Linked DNA regions of Macaca mulatta. The main gene of each other region encodes a partner of the protein of the gene in region 2 in a complex. Links are inferred from orthologs where the notes say so. Each region holds a gene or a part of one and is shown on either strand. Other genes may lie near its edges.

Region 1 (3,749 bases), about 86 Mb from region 2:
AGGAGCTATTACGGAAATGGACACCAAGAATATCTCCTGAAGTTCACTCCAAGAAAAGAGATCCACATACCATTCTCAATCCCACTGAAATTGTGGGCATTCTCAAAGGCAGGGCAGAGGGGGATCTGGGGTAGAGGACGGTTCTGTCTAATCCTTTTTTTTTTTTTTTTTTTGTTTCTGGACTTGCAGCCTCAGCTTTCACACTCCAGCCCTTAAGTTCACTAAGAAGGTCTGAGTTTCTGCTGCAGATGGTGGTGTTAACTGCTCCAACTCTTGTCCTGTCTTGCTTAGTTCCTACGGATATTTTTGTTTCTTGTCATTTGAAGGATTAAGAAACAAAAACAATCCAGAAATTGATCGGTTTTTTTAGACCAGTTCCATCCCTTCTGGATAACCAGATGTTAAATCGTGAGATCAGAGATGCTGTTCATCAGTCCCAACAAGATGGCCTACAGATCGCATTCTCACCTCGCCTTGCTGCTGCTTTAATTCCAACTTCTATTTCTTCCCTTATAGTTTTCTATGGGAATGAGGCGGATACAGGAAACACCCTGTCTCCTCTGTATTTTTGTAGCGGAATTTTCTATTTAAGGGGCTCATTAAAGCATAGTATTTATACACATTACTGGCATTGTTTCTTGTGTTTGAATAAAGGATTCTCCTAGGTAGGAAAGTGGTGGGTAAAAGGTGGGTATGATCCAAGAGAGGAAGGCATCTACTGTATTATTGCTAAGGAAATAGGGGAACTGGATTTGGTGAGACTCTGCAGAATTCAAGTGCAGTTTGGGGAAAGGATTCTGTGTGTGTCTCCCATTTAGAGGCAGATGGGGCCAGATTGTTCTAGAGATCCAGACTGAAGTCTCTGAGCTCCGATCCTATCCACCCCTCACCTGTGGTCACACACCACCTTGGAGCAGCCCTCACCCTCCCCATGCAATTACGACGAGATGAGCGCAGACGTCACTCCAGCTCAGACATTTCGCAGTCTCCTCCCCGAGGGAAAACCAAATACCTCCAGCCCAAATCAGGGCTGTTGAGGCCAAATCTGCAAGAAGGTTGCAGGCGAGATGGAGGGTTCCCTCTGCGCCTGAAAGCAGCCAAGTCCTCGGGTTGGGGGGACTCTTCAGCACATCCTTCTCTGGACAACAAAACATCATCACTGGCTACAAAATACATGAAAACTGAAGTTTTTGTTCTTTTAGCTTTCGAATTTACATTTTTGGGAGCAGTGTGATTCTTTCAAGTCTAGCAGTGCATTAAGACGGTCTGAGCGTTTCCGTTCCGCCCTCCTCGCTAAGACCACTAGCAGCAGCACCTCTGCGCGGGTGCCGAGGACTCCACCGCCCAACCCGAGTTAAGTCTTGGAGGCTCCTAAAATGGCTGCAGCCGCTTCCAGGCCCCTCCTCTTCCGCGGCTCCGCCCAGCGCTACGTCCTCCTTCGCCCCGGAAGTGGAAGTCGTGCTGAGGTCAGAAGGCGGAACCGCTGCTGGGAGACGGCGGGAGCTCTTTCGCCATGGCTGCCGGGCCGATCTCCGAGCGGAACCAGGGTAACTGGAGGGGGAAAGTCTGGAATGGGCTCAGCGTGGCTAGGAGGCCCCTACTACAGCCAGAAGTGCCTCTGCAGGGGTGGGAGACTGGACTCATCCATTCCCCAGAGGGCGCGAGACCGGCCCCGTGCCTCCTGGGGGCGGGGTGGCCAGGTGCTGGCTGAGGCCTGTGGGTGTGATACTTACGTCCAATCCCCTGCTGAGTTCTCACTCAAAAAAACAAAAAAATCCACTCAGAATACTAAATTAGACTTCAGAGGATTCCTGAAGTCCTGGAGAGAGAAGTTTAAGGGTTTAACTTTTTTTTTTTGCTCCTGTCCCCTACCCGCGTCCCCAGTTCCCCCGGTTGGGTTCCATCTTCATGTTTCCATCACCTCCTTCTTTCATGTTATACTCTCACCCTTGCTCTAACTTTCTGCTCCCTCCCTTCAGATGCCACTGTGTACGTGGGGGGCCTGGATGAGAAGGTTAGTGAACCACTGCTGTGGGAACTGTTTCTCCAGGCTGGACCAGTAGTCAACACCCACATGCCAAAGGATAGAGTCACTGGCCAGCACCAAGGTGAGTACATGACAAGGGGCAATTTGCTTCCGGAGGGTCCCGGCAGTATTCACAACTGTTTTGGAATAACATGAGCAACCTAAAGTATTTCTTTCTTTTAAGCCTCTGTTCAGTTTATTTCTGGAACCATTCTTAAGTGAGATTGTTTCTTTCTTGTTCTTTGTGATTAGAGGGTAGATGAGTTTTACCCCATTTTCAATCTCTTATGTTGTTAACCTCCTCTTCTCCACTTCTCCAGGCTATGGCTTTGTGGAATTCTTGAGTGAGGAAGATGCTGACTATGCCATTAAGATCATGAACATGATCAAACTCTATGGGAAGCCAATACGGGTGAACAAAGCATCAGCCCACAACAAAAACCTGGATGTAGGGGCCAACATTTTCATTGGGAACCTGGACCCTGAGATTGATGAGAAGTTGCTTTATGATACTTTCAGCGCTTTTGGGGTCATCTTACAAACCCCCAAGATTATGCGGGACCCTGACACAGGCAACTCCAAAGGTTATGCCTTTATTAATTTTGCTTCATTTGATGCTTCGGATGCAGCAATTGAAGCCATGAATGGGCAGTACCTCTGTAACCGCCCTATCACCGTATCTTATGCCTTCAAGAAGGACTCCAAGGGTGAGCGCCATGGCTCAGCAGCCGAACGACTTCTGGCAGCTCAGAACCCGCTCTCCCAGGCTGACCGCCCTCATCAGCTGTTTGCAGATGCACCTCCTCCACCCTCTGCCCCCAATCCTGTGGTATCATCATTGGGGTCTGGGCTTCCTCCACCAGGTAAAGCTTTTGGTTAAAATTTGTTTGTCTTAAGGTTGGGGGAGAGAGTCAGGAGGAAGAAAAAAAGAGCCTGAAAGGGGGATGGGACATGGAGTCAGTGAGTGATGGGAAGAGGACTGAGGGGTGATGGTAGTGGTGGAGAAGAAAGTTGTTGGGTTTCTTTAGGAGGGTGAAGTTGGTTGACTTTTCTAACATTGCTTTTGATTTTAGAGCACTGGGAGGAGGGGGAAAGAGCTCACCCTGCCCAGAGAGGCCAGATCAGGACAGGCTCTTTAAAGACATTTTCTCCTCACTACCATTAACTTTTCCTTTTTCCATTTCCTCTATAGGCATGCCTCCTCCTGGCTCCTTCCCACCCCCAGTGCCACCTCCTGGAGCCCTCCCACCTGGGATACCCCCAGCCATGCCCCCACCACCTATGCCTCCTGGAGCTGCAGGACATGGCCCCCCATCGGCAGGAACCCCAGGGGCAGGACATCCTGGTCATGGACACTCACATCCTCACCCATTCCCACCAGGTGGGATGCCCCATCCAGGTAGGTGTGCTTTGTTGGGAGGGAAGAGCTTGGTAGAGCATCTCTGTTACCTCTCACCCTGCTGCCCTTTGTTCCTCAACAGTAACAGTTTCAGAGTTTCCTTTCCTTCAGACATTCTATTATAAAAACATACAAAATACTCTCTAACATCCACCTCCCTGTATCCATTTCTTAAGTTTTTCTGACAAGAAGACTATACTTGCTGGTTTTTATTTCTTTAACCTTTAGTTCCATTCTCTTCTCTGACTCCAGCTCAAAGTGGTGACCTAATTGCCAAATCTCAGGGACACTTCTCCTCCTTATCTAGTTTGACCTCTGATGTAC
Region 2 (3,690 bases):
TGGCGCAATCTCGGCTCACTGCAACCTCCGCCTCCCGGGTTCAAGTGATTCTCTTGCCTCAGCCTCCCAAGTAGCTGGGATTATAGGCGCATGCCACCATGCCTGGCTAATTTTTGCATTTTTAGTAGAGATGGGGTTTCACTATGTTCGTCAGGCTGGTCTCGAACTCCTGACCTCAGGTGATCCGCCGACCTCAGCCTCCCACAGTGCTGGGATTACAGGTGTGAGCCACCGCACCCGGCCAGCCTTGGCTTCAAAGCTGAGGGAGATGCTGAAAACACTGCAGTTGTAGGATGTCAGCTAACTATGGTCCTTGCACCTAAATGGCAAGTTCTTTCTTGAAGTGCATTTGAATAGCACATGTCCAGTTTCCTTTATACCTTTCCTTTATATGCTTTAAAGATAGGTCTGGAGAAAATACTTTTCGGAGGACATACCTCATTTGGGTGCTTCCGGTGGAATTCCTTTATTTGCTTGAGTCTATTATAGAATTCAGCAAACTCATTGGGTCCTGAAATAGCATTGAGCTCCTCCTTTCGTAATCTGCAATTTCAGGAAAATTTCAAAGATAGAGCACAAAGTCAGTCCTCTAACCATGGCTCCTCAGAAGCACTAACTCCTAGATTAGCTGTGACTGTCACTTACCCATCCTTATCATCATACAAATCCCTCAGGTTCCCACTGACCTCCATATACCTCTGAAAGGCAAATACAAAACCATCAGAATGAGGCAATTTGCACAAATGTAGAGCTAAGCAAACAACAAGGGCTCTCCAGTCAAAGCCCAGGGCAATCTCAAGAGATACGGACATGGTCTTAACAGTTCTGTGCTTCCTAGTACCTTTAATAGCCCTGTTTCCTGGTTAGTTTTTCAATAGCCCTTTAACAGCCCTGATTCCTGGTTAGTTTTTTAAGCAGGTCGATTGGAAGATTACCTAAATGATAACATTTAAGGGGTGGCTCCTATTTTTACATACCACCGATGCCTAACTTTCCCTGTAACAGACTCACCCTCTTTGGCTAAACACTAGCTCCCACCTAACATCCTCAAAGATAAAGATGATATTCACTATTTCAAAAAGCTTGACTGAGGAGTAGACAGGCTAAATAAACATTACATAGGCTTCCTTTGTAGTCAAAATATACTAATTCGGGATGGTACAGGTACATAGTCCCCTCCTCCAAAACTTTTGGGCCCAGATTTGTTTCAGAATTTGGAATTTTTAAGTTCAGAAAAGGTATCACATATTATGTAACAGCCCTAGTGGAATCTGGAGCACACAGTTCTGCAGTAAACCTTATACCTTATTTACTAAGTGGGGTAAATTAAAGACCATAAAAAGCCTATCACAGGTTCAGGCCAGTAAACCTGTCAAGTGAGAGCAGGTCAGATTTTGACACCAAATAATCACCCAAGGGGAAAAAAATAAAATCCTTGGTTTTCAGAGTATTTTGGGGCTGAGGGCTTGTAATCTGATCATCTCCTGAAAATCAGAAGGTCCAAGTAAGTCTTTTATTCCTTTTTAAACAGGTTTCAAACGTACCCAAGAGTAAGGAACGTAGTAAAATGAACCTCCATTTACTCATCACCTTGTTTAAAAATTTAAATAGCATCTTGTTTTTCTTTTAAGTAATAAATTGAACTACTACCAGACAAATGCAGTTTAGTAGTCCAAAATGCTTTAAAGCAGTATCCTGGGAGAAAAACACTAATATACGGTATACATACATACATATATATATATATATATTTTTTTTTTTTTTTTTTAAGGCAAGGATTGTAGCTGTGCACCTGAGTCATGGACTCCTCATAACTATTGTTTGCACATCCAAGGGATACAGGATGCTGTAAGAACGGACACGTGTAAGCCAGGCGCAGTGGCTCAAGCCTGTAATCCCAGCACTTTGGGAGGCCGAGGTAGGTGGATCACGAGGTCAGAAGTTCGAGACCAGTCTGACCAAAATGTTGAAACTCCGTCTCTACTAAAAATACAAAAATTAGTTGGTGGCGAGCGCCTGTAATCCCAACTACTCCGGAAGCTGAGGCAGGAGAATCGCTTGAACCCGGGAGTCGGAGGTTGCAGGGAGCCGAGACCGCGCCTGGGCAACAGAGCGAGACTCCGTCTCAAAAGAAAAAAAAAAGGGGGGCACCTTTCCGATTAACGAAGAATGCGTAAGAGTTCCCCATTCAGAGAACTGAGGAAGCACCCTTACATCCGGCAGCCTGTGGACATCTGTCCAGGCAGAGAGCTCGCGACTGGCCAATCCGGTTACCTTTAGCCAGTGCTCATACTGAGACCCCGCACTTCACTTCCCCTCTCTTTTCCCGCCCTCGCCAACCCAGAGTGACAGACAGCTGGGCACTCACATCTTGCATGGCCCGAGTGCGGTGATCAGAATTGATCTGGTCCCGGAGCTGAAAAAGCAAACGGTGACACAAACGCCGTTAGCTTGCGTTCTGGAATAGAAAAGGCCGCCCGAGGGCGGAGCTTACCCGCTCAGGTTTTATCCGCTCAGGTTTTAGCAGCTGAGGAAGAAAGGCCTCTGGGGCTCTGGACCCCGGGAGGAGGTTACCAAGACCGGAGCTCGGAGAGGGAGCCCCGGAGGAGGCAGGAGGCGGAGTGCGGGGAGGCGCTGAGGGCCAAAGCAAGCTCTCAGAGGTCAAACACGGGATTGAGGCCCATGCCCCTGCCGCAGCCCCTGCTCAGACCCCACTCACCGTGGACTTCTTAGTGAGCATCTCTTTAGCCATGACGTCCATGAGCCGTTCCTTCTCCTCATGATAGCGCCGCTGCTGCTCCAGTATTGTCTCCATCTTCCCTTAGCCGCAGCCTCCCAATTCAGACCACCTACACGGCCGGAAGCAACTCCTGCCGCCCGGCGCGCCTGAGTCCCCACGTTGCGCATCCAGCTGCATCAAAGTTCCGCGAGTGCCGGAAGTGCCCGGGGACTTAGGAAAACATGAGCACCACAAGGAAGGCCAGTCTATGTTATGGAGATGGCAACAGTGCCACCTGCTGGTCGGAGGTGTGGTGGAGCGATGCCGAGAGGTTTGCAGATACCTCCAGGGGGCATAGGAAAACCCAAGAGCCCGAGGTTCAGCGGACCGCTTCCTGGGGCTTGCTGGGGCCGGCTGGTCGGGCAGGTACACTGTGGGGACTGCGCGAGCAGTTGGAGTGCAGCTGGGAGATGGGAAACCGGAACTTGAGGACGCAGCTTTCAGCGTAAATTATGAGAACATTTTCTGCTTCTCTGGACTTCAGCACCTTTCTTAGTAAAATGGGAATAGTGGGGTTTTGCTGGTGGTGTTTTTAAAGAAATTCACATGTGAGGCTGGGCGCGGTAGCTCACGCCTGTAATCCAGCACTTTGGGAAGCGGAGGCGGGCGGATCACTTGAGGTCAGGGGTTCGAGACCAGCCTGGCCAACATGGTGAAACCCCGTCTTTACTAAAAACAAACAAACAAAAATTAGCCGGGCGTGGTGGCACACACCTGTAGTCTCAGCTACTCCGGAGGCTGAGGCAGGAGAATCTCTTGAACCTGGGAAGCAGAGATTGCAGTGAGCTGAGATCGTGCCACTGCACTCCAGCCTGGGCAACAGAATGAGACTCAGTCTCAAAAAAAAAAAAAAAAAAAAAAAAAAGGAAGAAAGAAATTCACGTGTAGAAACGACTTGTCTATCGGCAGGG
Region 3 (3,649 bases), on a different chromosome or scaffold from region 2:
GCAATCCACCTGCCTCAGTCTCCCAGTGTGCTGGGATTACAGACTTGAGCCACAGTGCCTGGCTGATATTTGTCCCTTTGTATCTAGCTCATTTTACTTGGCATAATATTTAGAAGATTCATGTTCAAAAAAAAAAAAAGAAGGAGATTCATGTTTTGGTAGCCTGTGTCAGAACTCATTCCTTTTTATGGCAGAATTACTCATTGTTTGTACATACTGTATTTTGTTTATCCATTCTACTGCTGATGTACACTTGGATTGTGTCCACCTTTCACAATTGGGAGTAATGCTGTGGTAGATGTTGCTGTGCTAATACCTATTTGAGTCCCCATTTTTAATTTTTTTGAGTGTATATGTAGGAGTGGAATTACTGGGTCATGGTAATTCCGTGTTTAACTTTTTGAGAAACCACCAAACTTTCTCAAAGCAGCTACATCCGTTTTACATTCCCAACAGCAGTATATGAGGGCTGCAGTTTCTCCACATCCTTGCTGACTTGTTTTCCACATTTGTGATTATAGCCATCCTGCTAGGTATGCAGTGGTGGTATGAAGTGGTAGCTTTGCCTTTCCCCCGGGATGAGTGATGTTGAGCATCTATTTTTTTTTTTTTGAGACGGAGTCTTGCTCTGTCTTCCAGGCTGGAGTGCAGTGGTGCGATCTCCACTCACTGCAAGCTCTGTCGCCTCCCGGGTTCACGCCATTCTCCTGCCTCAGCCTCCCGAGAAGCTGGGACTACAGGCGCTTGCCACCTTGCCCGGCTGATTTTTTTTGTATTTTTAGTAGAGAGGGGGTTTCACCATGTTCGCCAGGATGGTCTCGATCTCCTGACCTCGTCCTGCCTCGGCCTCCCAAAGTGCTGGAATTACAGGCGCAAGCCACCGTGCCCGGCTGATGTTGAGCATCTTTTTGTGTTTATTGGCCATTTGTGTATCTTTGTTGGAGAAATGTCTATTCAAATCCCGTTGCCCATTTTTTAAGAGTTGTCTTCTTGTATTTGAGTTCTCTATGTGTTCTGGGTACTAGACCCTTGTTAGAAATATGAATTGCAAATATTTTCTCTCATTTGGTGGGTTGTCATCTTACTTTCTTCCTTTGATGCATGAAAGTTTTAAATTTTGATAAAGTCCAGTTTATCTGTGTTTTCTTTGTTGCTTGTGCTGTAAATAAAACACTCACTGCACTTCCCAGATCTTCTCCCTGAATTGTTTTGAAACAAATCCTAGCTATCTTACTTAATGTTAACACCTAAAAATAATAACAGTAGTATCTTAATATAATCAAATAGCTTGTGCTTTATATTGATGTCAGACATTATCGTCAGGCAGAGAACTCGTTACCGAAAGTTTCTCTTCTCTGCTTCTTCCCAGTTACTTATATCAAATTGCACATCTTGGAGATGATGATGAAGAACCTGAGTTTTCATCAGCCATGCCTCTGGAAGAAGGAGACACATTCTTTTTTCAGCCAAGACCACTTAAAAACCTTGTGCTGGTTGATGAGTTGGACAGCCTCTCTCCCATTCTGTTTTGCCAGGTTGGTGGGTCTTTCCAGTCCCTTCCACAATCAATCTAAAGTTAAACTGAGATCTAGTCTAAGAAATAGCTTTATTAGTATTTCCTTGAACTCGCCAGTGTGTAAAGCAGTTAGAGGTAGAAGCGTGAGCATAAAAAACCGTTAATAAGTCCTTGGGCTTTTTTTCCCATAATGATGAAACTCATGTTTAATGTAAAAATTCAGATCATATTCCTGTACTGCTTGCTGGGGAGGAAAAAAATCAGACCATGTAAAAAGTGAAAAGTAAAAGTCCTCCCTATAATCTTCTCACCCGTCCGCTCCATTGAACCATATTGCTTATGTTAACAACTTCTTGTAACTGCTTCCAGGTGTTTTATCTGCATTTAGAATCATGTATATGTTTATGTGTTCTGTCTTTTTCTTTTTAAAATAAGTGGAGTCATATACTCCACAGTATTCTGTGGTTGACCTCTTGTCATATAAGTCTACATATAGCTGTATTTACTTCATTTTACCACGGTTCCTCTTTAAAATAGTTCTGAGACATTGGGATCAGTTGGTAACAGAAAGTTTTGAATCACCACCTCAAGGAGGAACCTGCAGTGGCACAGAATGAAGATTGTGTCTCTCATTGTTGGTGCTCAGTTGTGACAGCCAGGAATTTGATCATGCTGTTGCATCCTCAATTGCCAGGGTTTGAGTGACCATTAGGGACCACCTGTGTAGTTAATCACACTTCTGATGGGAGAGGAGCTTGTTCACTGGGTACTGGGGAAACAAATCAGCATTCAGACAGGTTTAATTACACCCATCTGAAATTAATTGCTTTGTTCTTCCTTTCTGAGAAATGATTAGTCTTTTTTTTTTTTTTTTTTTTTGAGACGGAGTCTCACGCTGTTGCCCAGGCTGGAGTGCAATGGCGCGATCTCGGCTCACTGCAAGCTCCGCCTCCCGGGTTCCCGCCATTCTCCTGCCTCAGCCTCCTGAGTAGCTGGGACTACAGGCGCCCGCCACCGCGCCCGGCTAATTTTTTGTATTTTTAGTAGAGACGGGGTTTCACTGTGGTCTCGATCTCCTGACCTTGTGATCCGCCCGCCTCGGCCTCCCAAAGTGCTGGGATTACAGGCTTGAGCCACCGCGCCCGGCCGAAATGATTAGTCTTGAGGACAACAGAAAATAAGTGTGACTAACTTCTTTTCTTTCTTTTTTTTTTTTTTTTTTGGAGACGGAGTCTCGATCTTTTTTCTTTTGGAGACGGAGTCTCGACTCCAGCCAGGAGGCTGGAGTGCAGTGGCGTGATCTCAGTTCACTGCAAGCTCCGCCTCCCAAGTTCATGCCATTCTCCTGCCTCAGCCTCCCTAGTAGCAGGAACTGCTAGCGCCTGCCACCACGCCCAGCTAATTTTTTGTATTTTTAGTAGAGGCGGGGTTTCACTGTGATCTCCTGACCTCGTGATCTGCCTGCCTTGGCCTCCCAAAGTGCTGGGATTATAGGCGTGAGCCACCACGCCCGGCCAAGTGTGACTAATTTCTAATTTGATTATTAGTGATTTTTCCACCTTCATTGCAATTTGAATAAATAATGTGTGTAAATAGTTTATTCATCAAGAATAAAATTAGCCAGGCATGGTGGCCCATGCTTATAATCCCAGCACTTTGGGAGGCCGAGGTGGGCAGGTCACCTGAGGTTGGGAGTTTGAGACCAGCCTGACCAACATGGAGAAACCCTTCCTGTACTAAAAACAACAACAACAACAACAACAAAAAAACCAAAATTAGCCAGGTGTGGTGGCACATGCCTGTAATCCCAGCTACTTGGGAGGCTGAGGCAAGAGAATCACTTGAACTCAGGAGGTGGAGGTTGCGGTGAGCCGAGATCGCGCCATTGTACTCAGCCTGGGCAACAACTCCGTCTCAAAGAAAAAAAAAAAAAAAAAGACCGGGCATGGTGGCTCATGCCTGTAATCCCAGCACTTTGCGAGGCCGAGGCGGGCGGATCACAAGGTCAGGAGATCGAGACCATCCTGGCTAATGTGGTGAAACCCTGTCTACTAAAAATACAAAACAATTAGCCAGGCGTGGTGGCAGGCGCCTATAGTCCCAGCTACTTGGGAGGCTGAGGCAGGAGAATGG

Evidence for each region.
Region 1: SF3A3 (region 2) and SF3B4 share a complex: the UniProt entries of both Homo sapiens proteins name them as parts of the 17S U2 SnRNP complex. The link is inferred for Macaca mulatta from reciprocal best matches to the Homo sapiens genes SF3A3 and SF3B4.
Region 3: SF3A3 (region 2) and SF3B3 share a complex: the UniProt entries of both Homo sapiens proteins name them as parts of the 17S U2 SnRNP complex. The link is inferred for Macaca mulatta from reciprocal best matches to the Homo sapiens genes SF3A3 and SF3B3.

The regions. Positions count from the first base shown.
Region 1 is NC_133406.1:117,227,107-117,230,855, forward strand, and holds the start of SF3B4 (splicing factor 3B subunit 4), read left to right. Parts: upstream 1-1,461; 5' UTR 1,462-1,513; coding exon 1,514-1,547; intron 1,548-1,979; coding exon 1,980-2,108; intron 2,109-2,346; coding exon 2,347-2,889; intron 2,890-3,218; coding exon 3,219-3,425; intron 3,426-3,749. Other genes in the region: MTMR11 (myotubularin-related protein 11), read left to right, coding at 1-134. UniProt on the Homo sapiens protein: Component of the 17S U2 SnRNP complex of the spliceosome, a large ribonucleoprotein complex that removes introns from transcribed pre-mRNAs.
Region 2 is NC_133406.1:202,805,066-202,808,755, reverse strand, and holds the start of SF3A3 (splicing factor 3A subunit 3), read right to left. Parts: upstream 2,873-3,690; 5' UTR 2,816-2,872; coding exon 2,720-2,815; intron 2,417-2,719; coding exon 2,369-2,416; intron 699-2,368; coding exon 646-698; intron 544-645; coding exon 438-543; intron 1-437. UniProt on the Homo sapiens protein: Component of the 17S U2 SnRNP complex of the spliceosome, a large ribonucleoprotein complex that removes introns from transcribed pre-mRNAs.
Region 3 is NC_133425.1:69,307,675-69,311,323, reverse strand, and holds part of SF3B3 (splicing factor 3B subunit 3), read left to right. Parts: intron 1-1,369; coding exon 1,370-1,535; intron 1,536-3,649. UniProt on the Homo sapiens protein: Component of the 17S U2 SnRNP complex of the spliceosome, a large ribonucleoprotein complex that removes introns from transcribed pre-mRNAs.